Linked DNA regions of Lepisosteus oculatus. Each later gene encodes a partner of the first gene's protein in a complex. Links are inferred from orthologs where the notes say so. Each region holds a gene or a part of one and is shown in the gene's direction. Other genes may lie near its edges.

Region 1 (6,826 bases):
AAGCCTGGAAAAATGAAGGAGGAGGCCAAAAAGGTAAGCACAGTCATTGTTTTTCTTTGCCCTTGTGCACAAGCCATCCTTCGGATACAATAGGCTGTTCCTCAGAAAGTTTATGATGATCTGAACTTTAAAAAGGACTATAACATTTTGTTGGCAGCATGTGGAGAAGCTGCAGACACAGTATAAAAAAGTTTTTGAAGTTTTACATTTCTCTACTTAACTACCCAAATGGCACACCCCAGTAACTGATGCATAGCCCCGTAGTATTGAGGACTTTTGGGTAGGAACTTAATACAAAGAGCTTTTCCTGGTATTGCTTGTGTTGGAATAATCTAACCTCATGTTCTTTGTCTATACACAGGCCAGCCAGAAATCTCTGAGCCTTGATAAAGGAACACAATATAGTGAGGCTGAGGGCCACCAAGCAGGTGAGTCCCCCAGAAATGATAGCATGTTCCACCCGGTCATTTACAGATAAATGGAGATTGCTCATCATTCTATGGAATGTTCTCTTTTTGTTTAAAAATCGATGTTGTTATTGTGGAACTTAACAACACTATAACAACTGAATGAGTGAACTGATGTTTTTAAAGTGCATTAATGATTTTTTTATTTTCAGCATAAACACTCAAGCTTTCTATTGAGCAAAATGTTAATATGGAAGAAATGTTCTGCTCTCTCTTTTCAGATTCTCCATCTCCTGCAGTGGAAACTAAAAAGTCCAAGAAGAAACGTAAAAACGTCTTTAAATTATTCTCACAGGCAATGAGGAAACTGGTTTGTGTGAAGCCAGTGTTGGATGATTGATCTTCACAAGAAGTCGTATTTTAATATATACAATATTTTAGCATTTTTAGGAAACAAAATCCATTTTTAAAATTTAAAGTCACGGAATGAAAGAATGGGTGTGAGGCAGCAGGAGTCAATGGCCCAACGTCATCAGCATGACCAGAGTCATTAAGGACAATCTTTCAACCAGATGTTTGAAGCAGCTTACAATGATCCGTACATGGTGTATACTGTGTTGGGTAGGCAGTAATATATATTGTAATTGGTACGTAATAAAAAGGGATTTATGAAGTATGACTGTCTTGTGTGGTTTGTTGGTGCAGTCTTGGTTCTGGGAGATATATATCTATCCTTTTGCAAGAGAAAAGGGTCCTAACATCCTTTAAAATTGTTAGAAGGCGTAGTTGGCTATAAAAGCAATCAAGGTTTCTGCATTGAAGGTTCACCATGTGTGACACTAAAGCATGCCTTTGTATTGCGGTAGGAAACTCATGTGAACACAGAGAGAACATGAGTAAAAGCCAGGCAGATAGCAGCCCAGGTGTGGGACAATTTGAAACATAAAGAAAATGGTTCTCTCACCACTGATCGCAGTTATATTAATGAGCAATTTTAACACAGGATTACTTACCTGTTATGTCGACATGCAGTGTTGGTTCATGTGACACTGTCGTGGTAATATGGGGATACCGGGGTCTGGCACAAAGTGGGTCTTGATGGCTCACTCCCTCCCGGGTTCTCTGCACGACAAGACAGAAGTGCTCGTGGGTGAGAGAGAGGTCTTAGCCTGCGTTTGGGCACATGAAAGGTGGGACATGTACCTGGCCATACATGCAGACAGACCACCAGGCACTTACAACACTGCTCTCTACAACAGGCACTGGCCACCCTAAGCCACAGCCTCTCTTCAGGAACTTCAGCAGACCTCAGGACAGGACCCAGTTCTTTCCCAGCTCCACACTTCCATATACTCGGAGTGGCCCTCCAAGGTCTCCACTGACCTGAGCCCCTTCCATCATGTTAAAGATGAGCTCTCCTGCTGGAATGAGTCATGTGTCATTTGGGGCACCTGTGCTGTTATTCCTGCCTGCCTTTAGGTGCGAGTGTTGCAGATGGCACACGAGGGCCACTTGGGAATAGTCAAAGTCAAACAGCAGTGTCTGGATCTGGTTTTGTGGCCAGGAAATGACAGAGACATCGAAACACTTGTCAGGTACTGTGAAGCCTTCCTCCTGGGACAGTAGGAAGTAGGAAAACAGAGAGCCCCGCACCACATCCTCTCCAGCCCCCAGACTGGCCATCCGAGCCCTGGGATCTTCTCCAGCTGGACATCTGTGGGGAGCTGCATGGTGTCTTTCCCCATCACAGTTTCTTCATCATGGTTTCTAATTTGCTCTTGAAATGACTGGAAGTGGCCTCCACTAGATCGGTCACCACTCAGGCAGTCATTGACTTCCTGGATTCCCCCTCTGCCCACTCTGGTTTTCCAACCAACATCACCAACGACAATGGGCCGCCATTTGTGTCCACTGAGTTTGGCTGACCAGGACATACGACACACTCGTAAGGGCCTTATACAACCCAACGGCAATCAGTGGGGTGAACGACTGAATCAGACAGTCAAAAATGGCATCAGGGCCCAACTAGCACAGGCCTGCTCCTTCCCAACTGTGTTCCTCCGCACCCTGCTCCACTATTGGACTACGGCCACAGAACTGGCCATTATACAATATAAGAAGCCCAAAGTCTCTGAAAAAAAAGTGCTTAAATGAGCAAATTTTCACTGTCTAAGACGTGTGGGAATGCTAACCCTAACCCTAGCTGGGGTTTCAACAAAGCAATCCTGCAATTTGTTCTTAAAGCCCTTCAGTCATCAGATTTGAAAATGTTTCCCAAACCAAAAAATATGAGTCTTAACCAAACCAAACCACTGAAAAAGGCCATTGGAGACTTGTATTCTTCAATAATGTGTCTTCTTTAGGTACATTTTCAATCTGTGGAATGGATGGTTTTGATACAAGCATGCGTTTCAGGTCAGTTTAGGGGTTGGTTTACAAGAGCTATTAAGTGTTGACCCAATTTTTACATCTACTGTATACAGAAAATTCAAGGTACTTAACCCTCACGAACATTTTGATCTTACTGTTTTATCTTTTATGTGTATTCCTATCTTACTTCCCAAACTTTTTTTTTACGATTCTCAAATAACAAGTTTCGTAATATATGCCAAAACTACCTAAAAAGCAAAAATTTAATAAATAATGCATTTGCCATTAGAAAATCTTGGTATCTTTACACTTGAAACATAGATTTCCAGAATTCCAGCATGATAAAGGTATTTTTACTGGGTGGGTAGTCTTTGACTGAGCAATGTAGCATTATAGGAATAAGTAAAAAAAGAGTATAAATGCACTCACAGGTGAAAGTTTCTGCTCTTCCCAAGTGTGAAACTTACCTGTGACATTGAGTCTTAAATACAACATTGAGAAGAACTATTGAGACTTGACGTCTGATTGTATATGTATTTATTTCTTAGCAGTCATCCAGATTGAGATACTACATATGAGATTTACATTAGGTAAGGAGAAGGAACAATCACGTATTCTCAAGAAGAATAAATGTAAATGAATTTTAGGCTATTTTTAATCTGCAAGAACAATCTATGAATAGTTTCAGACAAAATGAAATACTGTATAAAGAGTATACAAAGCAGTCATGAAAAGAACCTGACGTGAATAAAGACCATAAAGGAAATCACGCTTTCAGCTGAGAATTAAGAACAATGCGATTTGGATGAAAATGAATAAAGGGAAAGATGAAAAAACATTTTAGTCATTTTATTTTGTTAACTGTTTGTAATGATAATATTCTACCGTTTAGTGATAGTTTTTAATGTAAATATCTGCGGGTGCAGGAATAATGAATGGTTTTCTCTTAATCGAAGGTGTGACCATCAGCCAGATCTGACGTAGATACTCACGTGTTCGCAGGTGGAACGCCCCCTTGTGGTTAATTCGTCACAGCACAGGTAGTGTCGGGCGTTTTGCTGCCGTTACGCGCTTTGTTTCTCCTATCCGCTCCGAAAATCCAACATGGCGATGCACACCAAAGTAACTCCTCCGCAGATTCCAGATACACGCAGGGAGCTGTCGGAGCTGGTGAAGAGGAAACAGGAGCTCGCGGTAAATCCTTTTTTTTACATTACCGTCTTTTAAACCGTTTTTCGAGTCGCCATTGATCTGGGTAAATGTGTAATTTTGCTAGAGTGTTCTAAGCAAAACGTCATGTTTACAGGCGTATGTTGCTGCACTTGTATTGCGTTCGTTTGAGGAACGTACGTAACCGACCTTAGTGAATAGCAGCTCCGTCTTGTGCCAAAGAAGTGCCGGGTGTAGAGGCCGTGCACTCCGGTTAGCAGATTTAGGAAAATCCGTTTATTGTAAGGCTTAGAGGCCTTTTCTACACCGCTAATGTTAGTTCCTGGCGTGAAGGAAGGGGACTCAAGTCTCGGTTCTGTGCTTTGGATGTAGGCTTGTTTAAGAAATAATTAACGGCTTTCAGCAGATTAAACGATGACTTCAAGCATTCAATTTGGGAATTTAGTTGTTACGATACATAGTAAGGTGATGTTAGCATCGGATATAGCAGCTTTGCTTGGTGTGTGTGGTAATGAGGTCGGCATCATTTGATATCGCATCATCCTGACAATTTTAAGTATAACACGGCATTTACCTCAATGTAAACTAGTTACCTTGGTGCATAAATGAAATAGCACTTCATAGCGACTAATGCATCATGTCACAGACGAATGAACGACGAGGAATCTTGTTACATGAGAAATTCCAGATCTTTTTAGAATTATGCAACATTGAATGGCTCTCTAGTCGCGTTGTCAAACCCGATACCTTGGATTCTTTCAATAAACGACAGGATGAGGTCGGATCAACAGCCTGCTAACAATCAAACACGCTAGACGAGAGAGGAAACCCTTCTCCCGAGGAATGTTATCTTCTGCTTACACCCAACCCCAAATATAACGACATTGCGTGGATTTCAGTAGCCCTTAGCTTATATTGCCCCGCTGGAGGGTTGCTGTGGAATTGTAAGACGCACATTAGCTGGCGCTCATTTCCCGCCCCGATCCTGCAGGAGACGCTGGCGAACCTGGAGAGACAAATCTATGCGTTTGAAGGCAGCTACCTGGAAGACACTCAAATGTATGGCAACATCATAAGAGGATGGGATCGGTACCTAACCAACCAGAAGTAAGATCGGTTCAAGTCTTTCTTCCGATAGCGATTTTGTGCTAAGCTTGGCTTTGCGTCACTTTTTTAATACCTTTTAACCTCTGTTGCAGAAATTCCAACAGCAAAAATGACAGAAGGAACAGAAAGTTCAAAGAAGCAGAGCGGCTCTTTAGCAAATCATCTGTCACATCCGTCGCAGTAAGTTAAACGCTTGTATTTCATATGAAGTTAGCAAACTCGTCAGGTTTCTTTAAACGTAGATGGAACATACTTCATATATTGACGAGATGTTAAGCCTCTTGTGAAATAAAGTGATGGAATTTGTTTGAGTTCTTAACATTTCATGCTTTTAACGTTTGTTGTCCCTGTTTCTTTTCCAGGCGGTTAGTGCTCTAGGAGGAATACAGGACCAACTTATAGAAAAAAGTAGGCATTATATTTCTGTCCTTGTGCTCTTCACAGTCATCATTCCTATCTGTAAACACGACTCGGTAGACATCAAGGATATTTGTCATTTTCATTAACACAAAATGCACAGCTACAAGTTAGATAAGTCTAGATCGTTCCTATTTGATTTCTGTCAGACCAGCCAGCAGTAATTCTGTGAAGCTCTTTTCCGGGTTCCAGAGGAATTTGTCTTGCCCTGTAAATGTCATGGGAGCCCCTGTGGTGTGGTGATGTGCATTGCTGCTTCACAGTAAGGATTTCCTTAATTTTCTCCCATCAGGGGAGCCAGGCAGTGGAACGGAGAGTGACAATTCCCCGGATTTCCAGAACCAGGAGAACGAGCCCAGCCAGGAGGACACGGAGGATATGGATGGGCCCTTGCAGGGGATGAAGCCCCAGAAGGCTGCCTCGTCCTCTTCTGGCAGTCACCATGGCAACCACAAGAAGAGGAAAAACAAAAACCGGCACAGGTATCCACTTGTGATGTGTTAAAACTTTTGTTTCACTTAAGCTACAGTTAATGTGATCATTGTAATGGAGCTTTTGCACAGTGAGACCGGTTTCGCAAAGGTCATGCAGGGAGAGTGTGGAGAAAGAGCTAAAACTTTCTGTCAGAATTATTTAATTGTTTAGAAAGCGCAGACTTTAACTTTGTCACAGACATTTGGCAATAATTTGAGCATATTTATTTTTTACGTTTGAAAACGTAGTATTCAGTGTGTTCTATGAATGCTTCAAAACCAAAATTGCGAAGTCTTTTTTTCATGTAAATTTTATATGTTCTTAAAATTATTTGCAGCAAGACATGACCTTCACCCCTACTGTAAGCAGTCAGAGGATTAGTTGAATGTTGAATTACTTGCTGAAATAATTTGACGTATAAGTACTGGCAAAGGTTCTGAACAAAAACGCACATGGGTCAAAGTATTAGGAACCCCCAAACAATGCCATCCACCAGGCATTCAACTCTGCTGTGTGAACCCTGCTAACATTAAAATCTGCTTGAACAAGACATGGCATGTATTCTGATCTTGTCCGGTATCCCATTCTTCACCTGCTTTGCCTTCAGCCAGGATTGTCAGACTGAAGCGTGGGATTATAATGCACCAGCCCTTTTTACATCTGGGCATTGCCCTGGCCAGTGGGTATAGCCATGCATGTCCTGAGACCAAGTGCATACTCCTTTAACTAGGGGTTCATAATATTTTGGCCAGTGAATATGATAAATACATAGATGTACATTGTTGTTACAGTATACAGTTGAGGAGATGATTTAACAAATAAATTAACGACTTACTAGTGATCCTTAACTTAAATACCTTTTGTTTCTCTTATCCGAAACT
Region 2 (7,900 bases), on another chromosome or scaffold:
ACACCAGCACACCTGTGGGATCCGTTTGTGAATGACTGCCAGCTTGTACCTTCAAAGCACTCGCTGAACTTGACAGATAAAGGGATGCAAAATGGATAAGTATATCCAGGAATTTTACTACAGGAAAATACACTACAGCACCTCCCTCTCCATTTCTTCCTCTGTGCTTTAAAAATAGCAGGCCACTCTCTCTTCGGAAACGGATAAACGAATAACGATCTAGTCCCGCAGCTAAACCAACAACCTCCAAACCTACGAGGAGGTCCCTAAGAAGGCAAATGTGCGCGCAACCTTGTCAACTCTCCCCGTCACCGGTTCAACAATCCGATGCTTCTGCCACCACCTATACAGGGGCACAGGAACTGCCTGCGAAGGGGCTCGGCACGACGGCCACAACCTGCGGAATGTGAAGCGTCTTTACTCAGAACGGCAGTGCAGTTGTTTTCTGGAAAACCCAAGGCACGTCCGAACTTACTTTTTCGGGGTGGGCTGGGTTGTGACTTAATGGCAGCTGAATTATGAATTATGGCAGCTGACAGAAGGAAAATGCAATCGGGCGATGCCACGGCACGATGATTAAGGGATTAAGGAAGAAGGGTAACAGTTAGCTGGGTCTCTGGACGCACCGTGCAGTGCAGATCGCTCATGCCATGATGCGCGCACGGTAACGCCTGGGGTGTTGTACACCGTGTGTGGCCCAGAGGCGGCTGGCGGTTGGCACAGGGTCGGTGCAGGAATATGATGAATAATGCCAACGGCCTAGCGGGGACAGATCACCCCCCGCCCCTTCTCCCGGCTCAATCCCCCTCACCTCCTCGGCGTGCTTCCTCAGCGCCTTCTCCCTCTCGTACTGAGTGATCAGCTGCTCGTTGTCCTCCTTCAGCAGCTCCAGCTCCACTTCGTGCTCCTGATTCTCGGCGAAGACGGAGTCCAGGTTCTCCAGCACGGCCACCACCAGCGGCATCAGCTCCTTCACCACGTCCTCGTCGTACTTGCCGATGAGCCTCTCGAACTCGCGGTAGATGGAGCTGGCCAGGCCCGACACCCGCTCCGACATCATTGCCGCCGTCCCCGGGTCGTCCTGGTATACAACTCCGTCCTCTAACTCCATTTTCTTCTCTCTCTCTTTCCGATGCGGTGCAGCCCTCCACCTCTTGCTATCTTGTACGAATTTATCTGCTCCTCAACGTTGTGTAGATGCCGGACTTCTTTAAAAAAAAATTAAAAAATAATAAAAAAATAAAAGAATCCGGGCAAGTTGCAGTCCCTCCCTTTAAGGGAGCGATGTCTTGTGTTTTATTTGGCTGCCGCTCCTCCAGCTCCCTGTGCAGCTGAGTTGTTGACCAGACCGTCACGTGATGACGTCACATTCTAAAACCGGGGCTGGGATTTGCGAGTGGAAGGGCTGGAATATTGCGCTGCAATTTTCGTTTCTTTAAAGATTACGCCTGGGTGTCTTTAATTAATTAGTAGTTTCATTTTGCACGAGTCGTGAAATTAATATTTTTGAAATATTCAAACAGAACAGAGTGTATCGAATTATCTTTTTGTGCGTTCACTTCTTCATTGTCTTCCAAGTACTGTATTCGTTTTTATTTATTCAAATGCACTGAACCATTCGACTTGTTCGTTTTTAACTAGGTAAGTCTTGCATTATGTGTTTTAAGACAAACATAAGTAAAACTCAAAAGAAATAGCCAATTTAGAACCCACTGGAGGAACTAATTAAACTAGTAAAGAACTTATCGAATGTCTGCACTTCTGATTAGAATATATCCCTCAGATGAATGGAGGTGGTATATTATCGAAAGCAGAAAGTGAGGAAGTCTGTTGGATTATTAAATATTAGAACAAGGTGGAATCTGACGCCAAAATGTTTAATTTAGTTCAGGTTTGTGAATCTGTATATGGTGCTACACATGCGGTTAGTGCTTGTTTTTGAATTGTTGAAAGTTGGTATGTCATGCCCAACGAACATGTGCAATATCATATTTAATACATTGCATTTTAAAAAGAAATATTTTTATAGAGTGCCGTCTACCTGGCACATAAGACGTTTAACAACTCACCTGCTATAGGTAAAGCTGAGTCTGATTTGATGTTACAAAACAGCGCCCTCTGCTGGGTCTCAAATGTTGCTGCTCGTTTAACCAGCTCATACTTGTTCCTTGCGACGTTGGTATTACCACGACCAAAACAAAATTATATAAAAAACAGACATTTTAATTTACCATGGTTCTGTTTTAATATGTCAAACTATCCCAATAGCAAGCTCTTGAAATATGTTTTCCTGACACTCCTGCTGTTTTACAAAGTGCTGAAAAGACACAGCTCTCAGTCTTCAATTAAAACGCGCACACAGAAGTGGTTTACACAGAGGTGTCCCTATCAAAGCAGAAGTTAATCGACCTCTAGTTGGACCGAACGATAAAGCAATCTGTTGGCTTAGAAAGGTACGTTTTTGTGCGCCGCAAAATGTCGAAAGTTCCGAGCTTAATTATTGTTCTTGTTACTGATAACGTATGTATTTAATGGTGCAGTAGCAGCTGTATTTCTACTTTCACGGTTGAAGTATATGTAGTATGTTATAAGAGTTCGTGTTGTATTGGAAGTTGCAAGGTAAAAAAGCTGGTTGAAATAAATGTGTGCACATTTAAAACCAATGTTCCCATGTCAGAATTCCTCTTTGGAAAATCTGTTGCCCTCTTTGGTAAGCGGGACTTAACAGTAAAATGGGGTGAATGGTATTGTAAATTCGTGATCGACTCAGGATGAGAGAACTAAAGAAATGTATGTATCTTGAAAAACAGTGTTACGATTTCAAAATGTACAACACACACATAACTCGTACGTTGCGTGTGAATAAATCAGGTCATTTTAGTTTTGGGAGCGAACCATAAACATTAGGTTTTCAAATGTTTAACGCAAAAGCTATGAACCCCACATACGGGATACAGCGTATACGGCGTGCATGTGTAAATTCACTGCCTCCATCACAAGGTCTCTGCTTTCTTAAAACTGTGTCGGAGTCTTCTCTTCTTTCGATCGCTCCTCATGTACCGAGCAGGTGCGCCCCAGATGTTGTACGATTTCTTTTAGCTGGGTCAATTCGTAACATCAGTGGGCTTTTGTTCAGTGCAAGTGAAAAAACTGCCTGAGGTCTATCTAGCTTCATTCGTTTGGATACAATAGCTCTTTGAAGGATGTCAAATAAAAAACAGAAGTGTCATAATTCCGTTCAACTCGTGATATGTCTTTGGGTGCCTGCAGAACAGGTGCGCTCCATTGAAGCAACGATAACAGACTCCCCCCCTCAGGTAGTACGGTGGCCTCCAGGGGCCAAAATCCTCCGTGTAAGGACTGTGTCGATTACCATTTCCTCGTTCCGACCAATGGCAACCAGGGGGTTTACCCTGCGCCTGCGCTCTGCAGATATGATAATTTTGTTGATATTCAGCTGGAGTTCAATATTTTGGGTTTTAGTTTGATTTTCTGTTCTATTTCTCCTTCTCGGGAATTTTACAACTGCACACACAAAACAAAACGGCATTGCATGAGGGGCTGATGGAAAACGCCAGGGATTTGGTGAGTTGAGCGGGGAGATCGAGCGTGGTGCTTTGGAGTGCAACAAGCCTGTTTTTCTCTTCCTTTGTTGTGATTGTCAGCCTGCAGCAGAAACAGCAGTAGAAAAAAGGGGCCTCCAGATTCGCCTAGGTAAAACAATCAGGTTTCCAAAGGTTCGGCTGACGGATTGCCGGGGCTTTAACGATTGTGAAGCACCCGAGAATTAGCTGAAACACATTGCAGAGACGCTAGTTTGCAGGACGAAGTGGAAAAGGCGTGCAGGCCCGTCACGACTGCAGTGGTAGTAGCATTCAAAGCACACACACAGATAATGCTTCCTTGTTTTTTTGAAATACTTGGTACGTAGACTTCCATGTCATTCGTGTATGTAACGGGTAAATCCTTCAAAATACGTGTTTTTCTGATATTACAGATAAAAACCCCAGCGAACACACCTTGTTACTAGGTGTTAGAGTTCCGAAGAAATAAATGCTGAGAAATAGCTGCTTATTGCTCTGTAGACCAGCGTTGCGGGTTACCATTCTGCTGTTACCGTGTCACACAGCAGTTTCGCTCTGCCTTGAGATTTTTAAGCATTTCTGCCGGAGTTCAAAATCGTAGCCATGTTTACAAATTAGAGCCCGGAAATGTTATGATACCAAGTTTTAAATGACTTGTTTAAATATTTGCGAAAACTCGGTATATCTTTTTATTGTCACCTTTAACTCGTAGTGTACTGCAGTTGGAGTAGTTAAGCTTATTGAAATACTTACAACTGTCGTTTGCGGCCGTAGAATGTATTGCATCCTGTGAAATGCATATGAAATCGAATAGCGATCATTGAAATTTCATTTCCATAAATATTTGTTTTTCTATGTGTAAGGTGCTCACTGACCAGTAATACATATCCTATACAAAGATTTTCTAGGTGTATTTCGGGTGTAGTAAGTTTCCACTACCATTGAAAGTTGGAAATATTGGATGGTAATAAGTGGAAGAAATAATTGTAAAAATGTTTGCAAGGTTTTTTTTAAGTTCTGTTCTTATTATCTTGGGTCTTTGAGTAGCATTTATTGGAACAGCGAGATTCTGTTTTGGGAGTTCATCATATTTATCAAATAAGTCTCTTCTGTGCTTAGAATACTGTTCAAAGCTGCCACCCATTATACCATTAAAATAAACTTTCTTATATGCAGGCTAAGAAACATCTTTTAAATATTGATTAAGTTGTCACAGTAGTAAGCTCCAGCAGATAGTGGATTTTGCACTGTACAGCTAAACTGAATACTGACACAACATGTTCTCCTTTCCAAAATACGAGGTGTGCCAAATAAAATGTAATGTTAAGAGCAAAGGGATCAATTCAGGAAAAAGAAACATGCTCTAGGCATGCCCCATTGCAGATTCTGAACTGCTACTCATGAGAGGGACCTGGATGTCTAGATTCTTCTATGTTCTCATCAAGACACCAAAATGCCAAGGTACTGTATGTAGCAAAACCTGAGAAATTTAAAACAAGGGAAGCTGGACAATACGCTAGTGTGGACTAATTAAAAATAAAAATCTATATAATTCAACTTTGGTTACAGTGTAATGACATTACATGTGGTTTCATTACTCATAATTTTTTTCTAAAGTTATTTCCTTTTTAACATATTTTAATAGACAGGTTAAAGGAACATAGTCTGTTTAGTTTAGATAAAGTAGGCTTGATCCTAATATTAATAATAATTACTTACATTTATATAGCGCTTTTCTGGACACTCCAGTAAAAGCACCTTACAGGTAATGGGGACTCCCCTCCACCACCTCCAATGTGCAGCACCCACCTGGATGATAATATCATCCAATATATCTGCCTCTGAGGTTTTTATATTGGGTCAACTTATAGGACTACTTACGACTCTGTAATGAAAATAAATTATTATGACTGTAATAAAACATAGATCACATTTAGAAACTAAAGGAGCAATCATTTAGATTGGGGAGTAGAAAACATGTCTTTACACAAAGAGCTGTTGGGGCCTTTAAGAAGCATTCTAGCTAGGCCTGTGTTGAGATCCAGAGTCTGAGAGTCTGAGCTGCTTCAAGAAGCAGCTGAATTTGCAGCTGTTCGCATGTTCTTATACTTTAAAATGCACCATGTGTTAAGTTTTGTTTAAAAGAAACTATAGAAACTTTGGTATTTTGAGAAAGGTGTTTTTGCAATCTGGAATCATGCTCTTAAAATAAAGAAAAATAGGCAGCATACAGTAGCTTTGGTGTAGATTTTTAATCTGAATACACTAAGTGCACATTGGTTTTCAGGCTGGTTAATATGCCTGCTGTGTTTCTGATTGTAACCCATAAGGCCAAGGCAATAGGAAATGCCAGGTCTGCAGCCAGCGCTCTTCAATGCCTGTCTTTGTTCACCCAGACTGAACACACTCCTCGGTCAGACAGGAAGAGGCGGGACTCCTTCGGGATGTATGATGGGTATGACAGCTGCAGTGAGGACACCAGCAGCAGCTCTAGCTCGGAGGAGAGCGAGGAGGAGGTCGCCTCCATACCTGCCAACCTGCCCATCATCAAGAACAATGGGCAGGTGTACACCTACCCAGATGGCAAAGCTGGCATGGGTCAGTCCACAAGTTCACGCTGCCCTCTCACAACACAAGTCTAATTACCCAAATTAAAGGCATAGCACACAGAGTGTTTGGTGTTTATTTTATAGCGCCATACCACCAGCACACAGAGTGTTTGGTGTTTGTTTTATAGCGCCATACCACCATTTAAAATGCAGTTAAGTCATTCTGTCTTTACTAGAGGCCAAACTTACTCATTGCTCTTTCAATATTTTTTAGCTTTATTATCTATATTTAAAATATCATAGTTGTGATTATTTTACATTCTTTCATTCTCTGTTCTGTTGAAAAGAACATCTTTCAATAGCTGGTGTAAATAAATGCATAGCTATATACTGTACATATATATCAACTGGTAATCCGTAGACTGAAATGTGAGTTACAAGGGCTCTGGGAAGAGTCATCATCACTAAACAGAACTAGAAAAAGGCAAGTTTAAAGGAAAGTCACATGACAGAGTAAGCTGTGCAGATTTTAACAGTATTTGCTTGTGTTGAATTATATCGGGTGTGTTCTGTTTTTTTTTTTCTGCATGACATTAATGAGTAAATTGAGAAAAAAATGTTTCCAGCGACAGTCTGGGATCGTGCAGGGATGTTTGCACAATTAAAAGGTTTCTCACTGTTCCCACCACTTGTAAGTGTGATGTAACCCACAATTGCCTGTTCTTTCAGCTACCTGTGAGATGTGTGGAATGGTGGGAGTCAGAGATGCCTTTTATTCCAAAACCAAGCGATTCTGCAGCGTCTCTTGTTCCAGAAGTTATTCCTCTAACTCAAAGAAGGCCAGCATTCTGGCTAGGCTCCAGGTAATGTTCTTTATTTTACACGTGACCCCAAAGAAAGCTGTTTTGGTGCTTGTGTTAGCAAAAAGACCTAGGTTAGAGTCACCAGCCAGACGAACAGCAGCTGTATTCACTTTTATAAGATTGTAATCTACAAATAATGTACATATTAATGTCTTTATATGTTAATAACATTGAATATTGGATATTTTTTATTTGCAGGGTAAACCACCTACAAAAAAGGCAAAAGTCTTACAAAAACAACCTCTAATGGCCAAGTTAGCAGCATATGCCCAGTACCAGGCAAACCAACAAAACCAAGCTAAATCAAAAACAGGTGAGGGACAGTGAAGTCCTGTAACTGTGACTATTTAACTAGTAAGAGTTTGTATATTCACAGAGTGGTTAGCATTTACTACATTTTACTACATGTGTGAATCTAAGAATAAATGACACCTTCCTTGATGCAGAAATTTGAATTTTGCATTCTGTAATGTACATAGTGTAGGTGCGTGGTATTACTAGATCATTACTCTCTTATTAGTGCTCCCAGAAGTAGCTGAAAGGAAGCACATGGTTGATGAATATAAGCATAGCACACAGAGGGCACTGCCTTTTGGAAAATGAATGCCGTTTAAGCTTGCCATTTCTGAGTGGGACTCTTATAAAAACACAAAAAGATTCAATTTCTTGAAAATGCATTAAAGATATTTAGGGAATTGGGTGCTGGAGTGGATATTAGCACTGTTGGTAATAAGTCACCTGAAGCAGTGATAAACTGAATATATTTTATCTTTCTGTCCTTGTCTTGCCCTTTTCAGTGGTTCCTGTGGAGGGGTTTGATTGGGGTCGTTACATCAGCAGCAATAACTCTGTTGCGGCACCTGTTAGCTGCTTTAAGCACGTAAGTAGAATTAAAACTACTACA
Region 3 (7,456 bases), on another chromosome or scaffold:
CTCCATCTTGTGCGCTTATAACCAGCTTGGGTGCTGTACTTCCATCTGTAGCTTTTTCTTCATCCCCAATGCCTCACGGGTGTTTTTCTTTTATCCGTCATTGATGTTAACAACGCAATTCACCAACCTGGTGCATCCTTGTCATGCATCAGAAAATAGTGCATGGTTCATCGTTGTGTACGTCTGTTGCTACTGATTTAGGCACTCCCAGAATATAGTAAATGACAGCTGCATCATAAAAAAAAAAGTCTTCCATTGTACATGGAGCTTAAACTTTTGCTTTCTTGGAGGACGAGCCCTAGGTATGTTCCCACTCGGATAGGGCCTTCATCCAGCCCTGCATGTGTGGAGTCGGCACATTCTGCCCATATACTGGGGTGTTTGCCAGGTGCTGCGGTTTCTTCCCACCTCCCAGAGATGTGCCAGCTTGGCTTCATGGGGTATTCTGATTCATCCTGTGATTGGCTGGCGTCTTGCCCGGGTGCAGAGTGTGGGTGTGCTCCACCTTGCTGCCTGTGCTTCTAGGAGAAGGGGCTTTCTAATAGCAGGGTGGTGATTGGAGGTTGGTAGGGGGCATCATCCCTGATCACAAGAACTAGTCAGCCCCCAAGAACATTGGGGCTTAAATATTAAAGTTGGTATAGATGCCTTGCTTATGTGGCTGTTTGATTTTCAGCTGAAGTAAGCATCACAATGAATGGAGGAGATATATGTGGTGGTAAAGGAATAGTGTACGATAAGGTTTGTGTTGGGATAAGGTAACATCACACCTGGGATGGCTGGACAAGAAGCTGCTGGTCAAGAACATCCAACACCTCAGGTGTGATGTGATTCTAGTGCGTCACACCCTGGAGATTAGTTATCTTTTCATTTTATAATATACAGTACAACAGACCTTGGTATGGTTAAAAAAAACAGACCTGTGCATTTGTACTAGTCATTTTGTCCGAGGTTCAGTTTAAAAAGAAGCTGGACAATCCTGGTCTTGCAGAGTCAGTGACTGTAGGTTTTCTAGGTCTTATTAGAGCAAGAGCACATGGAAAAACTAAATATTTTTGTTAAATTGTCCCATTACACCATAATTAGCTGATTTAGGTTAATAGATGATGTACTCAAAAGAAAATGTATAGATAAATCAGCCTCCAGAATGAGGAATACTCACGCCTGGTTTATAACATTTGATACAATTTTTGTTTTTGTTTTTAAACCATGTGCTCCATTCATTAACCCCCGTGATGTCTCACATATTTGTGTTCTCAATTCCACAAAACAGTAAGACTGTTAAATAATACTGGAACTAATCAATATATAAATTATGGTATTAAATAGCTAGCATTGTACAAAAATGGGCTATTCATCATTCGTAAGACTTGAGGGCTATATTTGTCATCTGACCAGCATCATTTGCTACAAGAATGTCTTTAGTACTCAGTGAAAAAGTCTTAAGTAATTAGGAGTTATTCTGAATAACTATTCAGAGTACATTCACATTTAGAGCAAGTAGTAGTATAGTAGTGTTAGCACAGATCTCTGCAGTTATAATACTAACAAGTTACTGAAAACCCAGTTAGAAGATGGGATACATTTCTTGATCTCAAATGCCTTCTGGCTTTTACATTAAAGTTGTGTGTATGTTAATCAAAGAGTTGGGTTTGTAGCCACTTGTACACTGTTCACAGTGTCTAAGAAAGCAGTTAGGTGCAGGCTGTAGTGTTGCTGACCAGCTGATAGGTAGCAGATGGTATCTATGGTTCATTTGTTAAATATGGCAGTTTTTTCCCCCGAAATGTGGATTTGTCATTTTGCTTGGTACCTGTCAGGCCTGGATTTATTCTTTCTCAAAGCTGTGCGGTTATTTACTAGTTTGGGAGCCTCAACAGCTGGTGGTACTGGAGAAATGATTCTAACCGATAAGAATTAGAACACTAGATTTTGTGCAACTTCCTAGTTCTACAGGGGAAATGGTCTAACTTAGCTTTAAAGGAAGTACATTTGCAACTGAACATATCCTGTTTTATCTGATTGCACCATGACTGTTGCCAGGATCTCTTGTATACTTGCTTCCAGGAGCAATAGATCCAATCTGGCTTTTATATTTTAACCCACCTTAAACCTAAATAGAATAAACTTTAATTAAAGGACTCTTTGTTGTTTTGATTATAACATTTCCAGCCTTTAGATGAGTGGAACCGTAATCATGCTAAGGGATTGCAGTTAAAATTTCACTAATCGAAGGAAATCGTGTTGTAGCATCTTTGCACTTCTGACGTTATTATACATATCCACACCAGAATTCAAGGGGAAAAAAGTGTTTTAGAAATAGGATATCTACCATCTTTACACTTTTCTCCTTGTAAGAGATGCTTTGTAAGTGGAGCCTTCTTCAGGAATAGGGTGTAGATGAGGAAGAGAGCTGAGCCCCAAGTCAAAAGAGTGGGAGCAAGAATGACAAAAATGTGCGGATGAAAAGGGAGAGGTGAGAAAGGATGAATAAATATTTCCCTAGATGTTGTTTAAAGCTCTAGTCATGGAGCATAAAAAAGGTACACTTAAAATAAAGATGACAGTACATTGGTTTAAATTGGAAAACTACTAAAGTAAAATGATAGGTACAAACGTAGTTTCTGTATCGCAACAAATAGTTGTATACCTAGATGAAAGTGTCCACTACTTTAAATGTCTGTATGCCCAATCTTGGACTAGGTAATACCTGCTTAGTGGCATCTGATAATATTCTTTGAGGAACTTGCTGATTTTTACCCCTTTTGACTTAAGATATATCACTGGTGCCTCATGTCACACTCATCTCTGTGATCTTTACTCTTTTAATGTATTTCTCTTGGCATACGAGGCAGGCTCTCCTGTTAAAATCCCCCAATCTGTAATTTGTGGAAAACCCTTCCTTTTTATTTTTTTGCACCTCTGTGCCATCTTACTGCCTATCACTGAGCTAATGCTATTATTGGATTCATTTTCCATGTAGACCTACCGTTTTGGGGACGGGCACTTTGCTTGCTGCTGCCAGTGCCTGGGACCTTTTGCAGAGGTTGAAACTGTCCATCTTTAGATGTGAGTGTTCAGTTAAATGGTGTAAATCCTTAATTCCTGCACTTGTTCACATTGCAGACCATGGCAGTGTCATTTTAATTTTCTTATCTGGTAAAATAAAGGATTCAATGAAATTTATCACTAGAAAAAAAAGATGTCTAGCTGTCAGTTTTAATATTATTTAGCAGAAGTATAAACATTCTGGGAGTGCCATTGGTGGAATTTAATCGCCACCCTGTGTTTCTGTGAATTTAACTGGAGTTTAATTGAAAATGTACTAGCTTTTGCTGATCACAACTTCAAAAGGGACAAAAAGATCAATGGTTTGATGATGCATTTAATCTAATTAAACTCTTCAGTAGTGTCATTGTTTAAATCTCAGGCTAATACAATTTGTGGATGAAAGTTTGATTTTAATTAGGTTAGCCACCGATGGTTTTAGTTTTCTAAATGTGTTATTAAGCCTTAAGTTTTTCGAGATCAATTTGGTATTTTTTCCTTCTTGTGGGCATGATTTAGTTTTTAAGTGCTCTTAACTTTTTTTTTTCCATTGGTCTTGTAAAGACTGATTTGTTTTGATTGTCCTTTACAAAGCTGTTGATTCCTTTTACTTAGAAACTCTCAGACAGTATAGAGCAAACTTCCCTGGGTTCGCTTACTTACTGTACCATGCGATTCATTTTCTTTTCAAAAGAGGGCGACATTTTCCAAGATTGTGGAGATTCAACTGGAGGCGTCCAACAAGAAATCGGTAGCAGGCAGCCTTGGAGTTAAACGCCAATGATCAAATACCTGTAACTCTGATGGCACACGGAAGACTTAAAAAAAAAATTAAGCTTGCAGTAAACCGTAGGATGTCTTACTTACAATATTGGGAGGAAACTAAACTTAGAAACTGCCTCAGTGTTGATGCATATTACGTTTTTACCTGTAGTTTTTATCTACCGCACATTTCATTACCAATAGAAACCTGTTCTTCCGTTAAGATGAGAACGTAGTTGTAGACTGTACAGTGTTGGTGGAAATTCAACTTCTCTATCCTCTCGGGTCTGTAGTTTATCCCGTGTTAACCCCCATTCAGCCACAGACCAGGGGGCGAGTGCGCCTTTAAGTCGCGGGTAGCGCGTCCCATGTCGGCGCAACACACACGCCGTGTAGTGCGGATGGAGGCTGCGAGAGCTGCTGCTGCTGCTGCGCGCTGCCTGTCAAGAGTGCGCGGAGGAAAGAAGAATGGGGCGGGGAGGGGGGGGGCCGCGGCTCCTCGGTGCTGTTTATTTCGGCGTTGCGAGCGCTCCCCTCCCCCATGTTGCCGCCTCCTCCTCCCCTCCGGGCGCCGCGAGCGCGCACGCGCGCGGGGCCGTGCGGGAATGGCTGTGCGCTGATCGGGGGGCTGGGCCGCCAGCAGCTACCGGAGAGTTAAAGAGTTTTTAATGTCCGCCATGTTGGCCATGGCGTATTGAACCAGGGAGAGAGAGCGGAGCGACTGAAAAAAAGAGACCGAAAGAGAGCGACCAAGATCCGGGCCTTCCCGGCTCCGTTCGCCTCGCCGTTTGTATTTTTTTTAACCAATCGAACGGTAGACGACTGGAGAACGACACAGACACATCCATGAGAGCTCAAACCGGGACAGTTGTGAATTTTAGGGGATCGGATAGATTTATGCTGCATCTCGAAATATAAAAAATGAGTAAATTGTCGTTTCGGGCACGGGCGCTGGACGCTTCCAAGCCACTACCTGTCTTCCGCTGCGAGGACTTACCCGACCTGCATGAATATGCCTCTATTAACCGGGCAGTGCCGCAGATGCCAACTGGGATGGAAAAAGAGGAGGAATCGGTACGTTTTGCAGTTCCGAAAACCTATTCTTGGTAAAATGTCCAGGTTTCGGCAGCATGAAGGGGCGCCCCTATCTTGTCTGCGCAAGCTTGCACAAAATGGCCGCCATATTCTCGTTCCAGAAAGGCGGCTTGGTTCGGGGTTTTGCTCGCGTCCTAAGCAGGATTTGGTGCAGTATATACAAATATAAGACGGCGCTGGTTGCAGATGGTGTTGTTGGGTTCGGTTGTCGGGGCCCGTTAACCCGGGAAAAGGGTTGCACGGCACAAAGGGGTCACGTGACTCGAGGCGAATCCGCCATTTCGCTGACTTTCTCCTCGCGCTGGGCTGGGCCTCGTGTCGCTGCAGGAGCCGCGGCCCGGTGCGAGGGGGCGCGCGAGAGCTGGCAGCCCACACCCCCCCCCTCAGTCTGAGTACACATGGGATACTACAACATAAACAAGAGCGCTGTCGGCTGGGAACGCAGGTCCGACTGCCTGTGCTCACGTTGGTTTTGACGCAGAAGGAAGCCGTTTTCTGCATTCTCTAGACTCGTTTTTTTTTGCTTCACGACATGAACTGTTTCTGAAATGGAGTAGTACCAGAAGTATTTTTTAACAGCGTCGTACGCGTTCTGAGTTGTTGGCGCTGACAAGAGTTTGCGATGGGGTCACGCTGTTCGTGTTTAAGTTTGCGATCTGCCCATTTGTCTTTCAGTGTTTTCTAGAGACACGGCAGCTGAGCAAGTCGCGGAGGTTTCCGTAAACGAATGTACAGCTTGTGTACGTGAAGGGTGTTTTTGTTTTCTTTCGTCTTCGGCTGTGCCTCGCACGGAGCTGGGCAGCGGGCACTGCCGGGCTGCCAATGAGGAGACTTCCCTCCGTTTGGCAGAAAATGGACATGACCGGTCTGATTCCGGCTGAGGTGTGCTCACGCCTGCTCGGCTGCCGTGCTTGCGCGGCTGTGTTGATACAGCTCGTCAGGAGGCGTGACGCAAAACTGACCCAGTTTTGCCTTAGTCCTAAAACCGTAAATTACCCCCCCCCTCTCCCCAGTCCCAGTTAAATCTGCATTATCGCCTCGAGAGTAGGTCTGAAGTTTTCCATTATTTCCGAACACCATATCTCTTCCTACTCCGTGGCCGTTATCCACACTTCCTCCATTTGCGTTAAGTTTGGCGATTGATTTAAGCCTCTCACGCTTGAGTTGCCGATTGAATGAAGAAACGGATAGTCCTAAATCTAGGCTGGTAGTTTCTTCGCTTCGTTCTGCAGCTTTGAATGCCAAGAGGGAAAGCTTGTGTAGAAGCCGGTCGGGTATGGTGAATGTTTTACAAACGCAGCAGTAGCATCTGTGCGAATAAGTTAAATTGTGAGGTTAAAGCAGGCTATCGTTTTTTTTTTGCAATAGTATGGAGACGCCTCTCTAAACCACTTTACCGGACTTTCTAGTAAGTCCTAACCGCAGATCTACACTGTCACCTTCGTTGCAAATGTCAGTTCGCCTTTGAACTGTTGGCGCCAGTGAGGTGAGATGTCAGTGGGTGAAGTCTTCTGCTGAACTCTGTAAGCAGGCAGAGCGCTGGGTTTGCAGCTCCTATTTCAGTTGTAAACGACAAAACTTGACTTTGAAGGGCTGCGTGCTAAGAGAGAGATTAGGAAGATACCCCTGTCTGATTTTTACCTCTTTGTGGGGAATCCGTACCCGAACGTGCTGTTTTTTAACTCTAACAATATATTCTTCCAGTGCCCTTCTCTGTGGAGATTTTAAGTTCCTTCTCTTGCATTTAATCAATATCACATTTGCATATGTGATGGTTGATGTCTTTGTGGACATTTCCATGGTTATTGTACACACTAACGTTTTAACTTGGTTTTCTCTATGGTGTTGTAATACAAACTGTTTTGTTTAGGGTTGAAATAGGAGGGAAGAGCATTTAATGATGAGGAATGACAAGTTTGATAGTTGCCCTGTTAATTGTTACACTGTTTAGGATCAAGAACCGAAAATTAGAAATTGGATGCATCTGTCAAAGCACTGTAATCCATTGTCAAAATTGTTAGCAACAGGTGAGTTAATTAAAAGCCGTGTTGATTTATGCTGTGTATATGTATAAGAATGCATTACTGATATTACACAATTTATTGATCAGACTAAGTGTCGTGCTCTGCCCATAAATCTCATTTAAACCATTCAATTTTTCGTGATATTCCAGTGGGTGTTTGGATAAGCAGAAAGGGACTGTTCGGCTTCTGATTAGGAAGATGTCTGGGGACGCAGTGACCCACCAAAATAAGGGAGATTTAATGAGCTAATTTTGTATTCCTAAGTCATTCTCATTAAACGAACTTTGGTCTTTCATATCTGCTGTCCTCCAGATATATTAACAGAACACGGCAAACTACTAATCTGGTGTGGTTCCTTGTGGCCAGTAGTAGTCAAGAGAGGCTGCTAAATGTTGCCCACATCACCTTGATTTGTCTTCTCGCTGACATCTGATCCGTTAAAAATAGCAGTGAGAGGAAGGTGAACAGCCTTTTTTTTTTAAGTCTAATAAATCAAGATGGAAAGGAATCGATTTCTTTCTGTTGGT

The links.
Region 2: meaf6 (region 1) and mbtd1 share a complex: the UniProt entries of both Homo sapiens proteins name them as parts of the nuA4 histone acetyltransferase complex. The link is inferred for Lepisosteus oculatus from reciprocal best matches to the Homo sapiens genes MEAF6 and MBTD1.
Region 3: meaf6 (region 1) and enhancer of polycomb homolog 1 share a complex: the UniProt entries of both Homo sapiens proteins name them as parts of the nuA4 histone acetyltransferase complex. The link is inferred for Lepisosteus oculatus from reciprocal best matches to the Homo sapiens genes MEAF6 and EPC1.

What each region holds. Positions count from the first base shown.
Region 1 is NC_090706.1:12,445,089-12,451,914, reverse strand, and holds the start of meaf6 (chromatin modification-related protein MEAF6), read left to right. Parts: upstream 1-3,806; 5' UTR 3,807-3,881; coding exon 3,882-3,971; intron 3,972-4,938; coding exon 4,939-5,054; intron 5,055-5,146; coding exon 5,147-5,234; intron 5,235-5,416; coding exon 5,417-5,462; intron 5,463-5,763; coding exon 5,764-5,953; intron 5,954-6,826. Other genes in the region: uncharacterized protein, read left to right, coding at 1-33, 362-428, 689-807.
Region 2 is NC_090704.1:33,791,330-33,799,229, forward strand, and holds the start of mbtd1 (MBT domain-containing protein 1), read left to right. Parts: upstream 1-4,882; 5' UTR 4,883-5,015; coding exon 5,016-5,045; intron 5,046-5,980; coding exon 5,981-6,182; intron 6,183-6,862; coding exon 6,863-6,996; intron 6,997-7,194; coding exon 7,195-7,309; intron 7,310-7,793; coding exon 7,794-7,876; intron 7,877-7,900. Other genes in the region: spag9b (C-Jun-amino-terminal kinase-interacting protein 4), read right to left, coding at 812-1,111. UniProt on the Homo sapiens protein: Chromatin reader component of the NuA4 histone acetyltransferase complex, a multiprotein complex involved in transcriptional activation of select genes principally by acetylation of nucleosomal histones H4 and H2A.
Region 3 is NC_090701.1:39,246,528-39,253,983, forward strand, and holds the start of enhancer of polycomb homolog 1, read left to right. Parts: upstream 1-4,438; 5' UTR 4,439-4,731; coding exon 4,732-4,884; intron 4,885-7,456. UniProt on the Homo sapiens protein: Component of the NuA4 histone acetyltransferase (HAT) complex, a multiprotein complex involved in transcriptional activation of select genes principally by acetylation of nucleosomal histones H4 and H2A.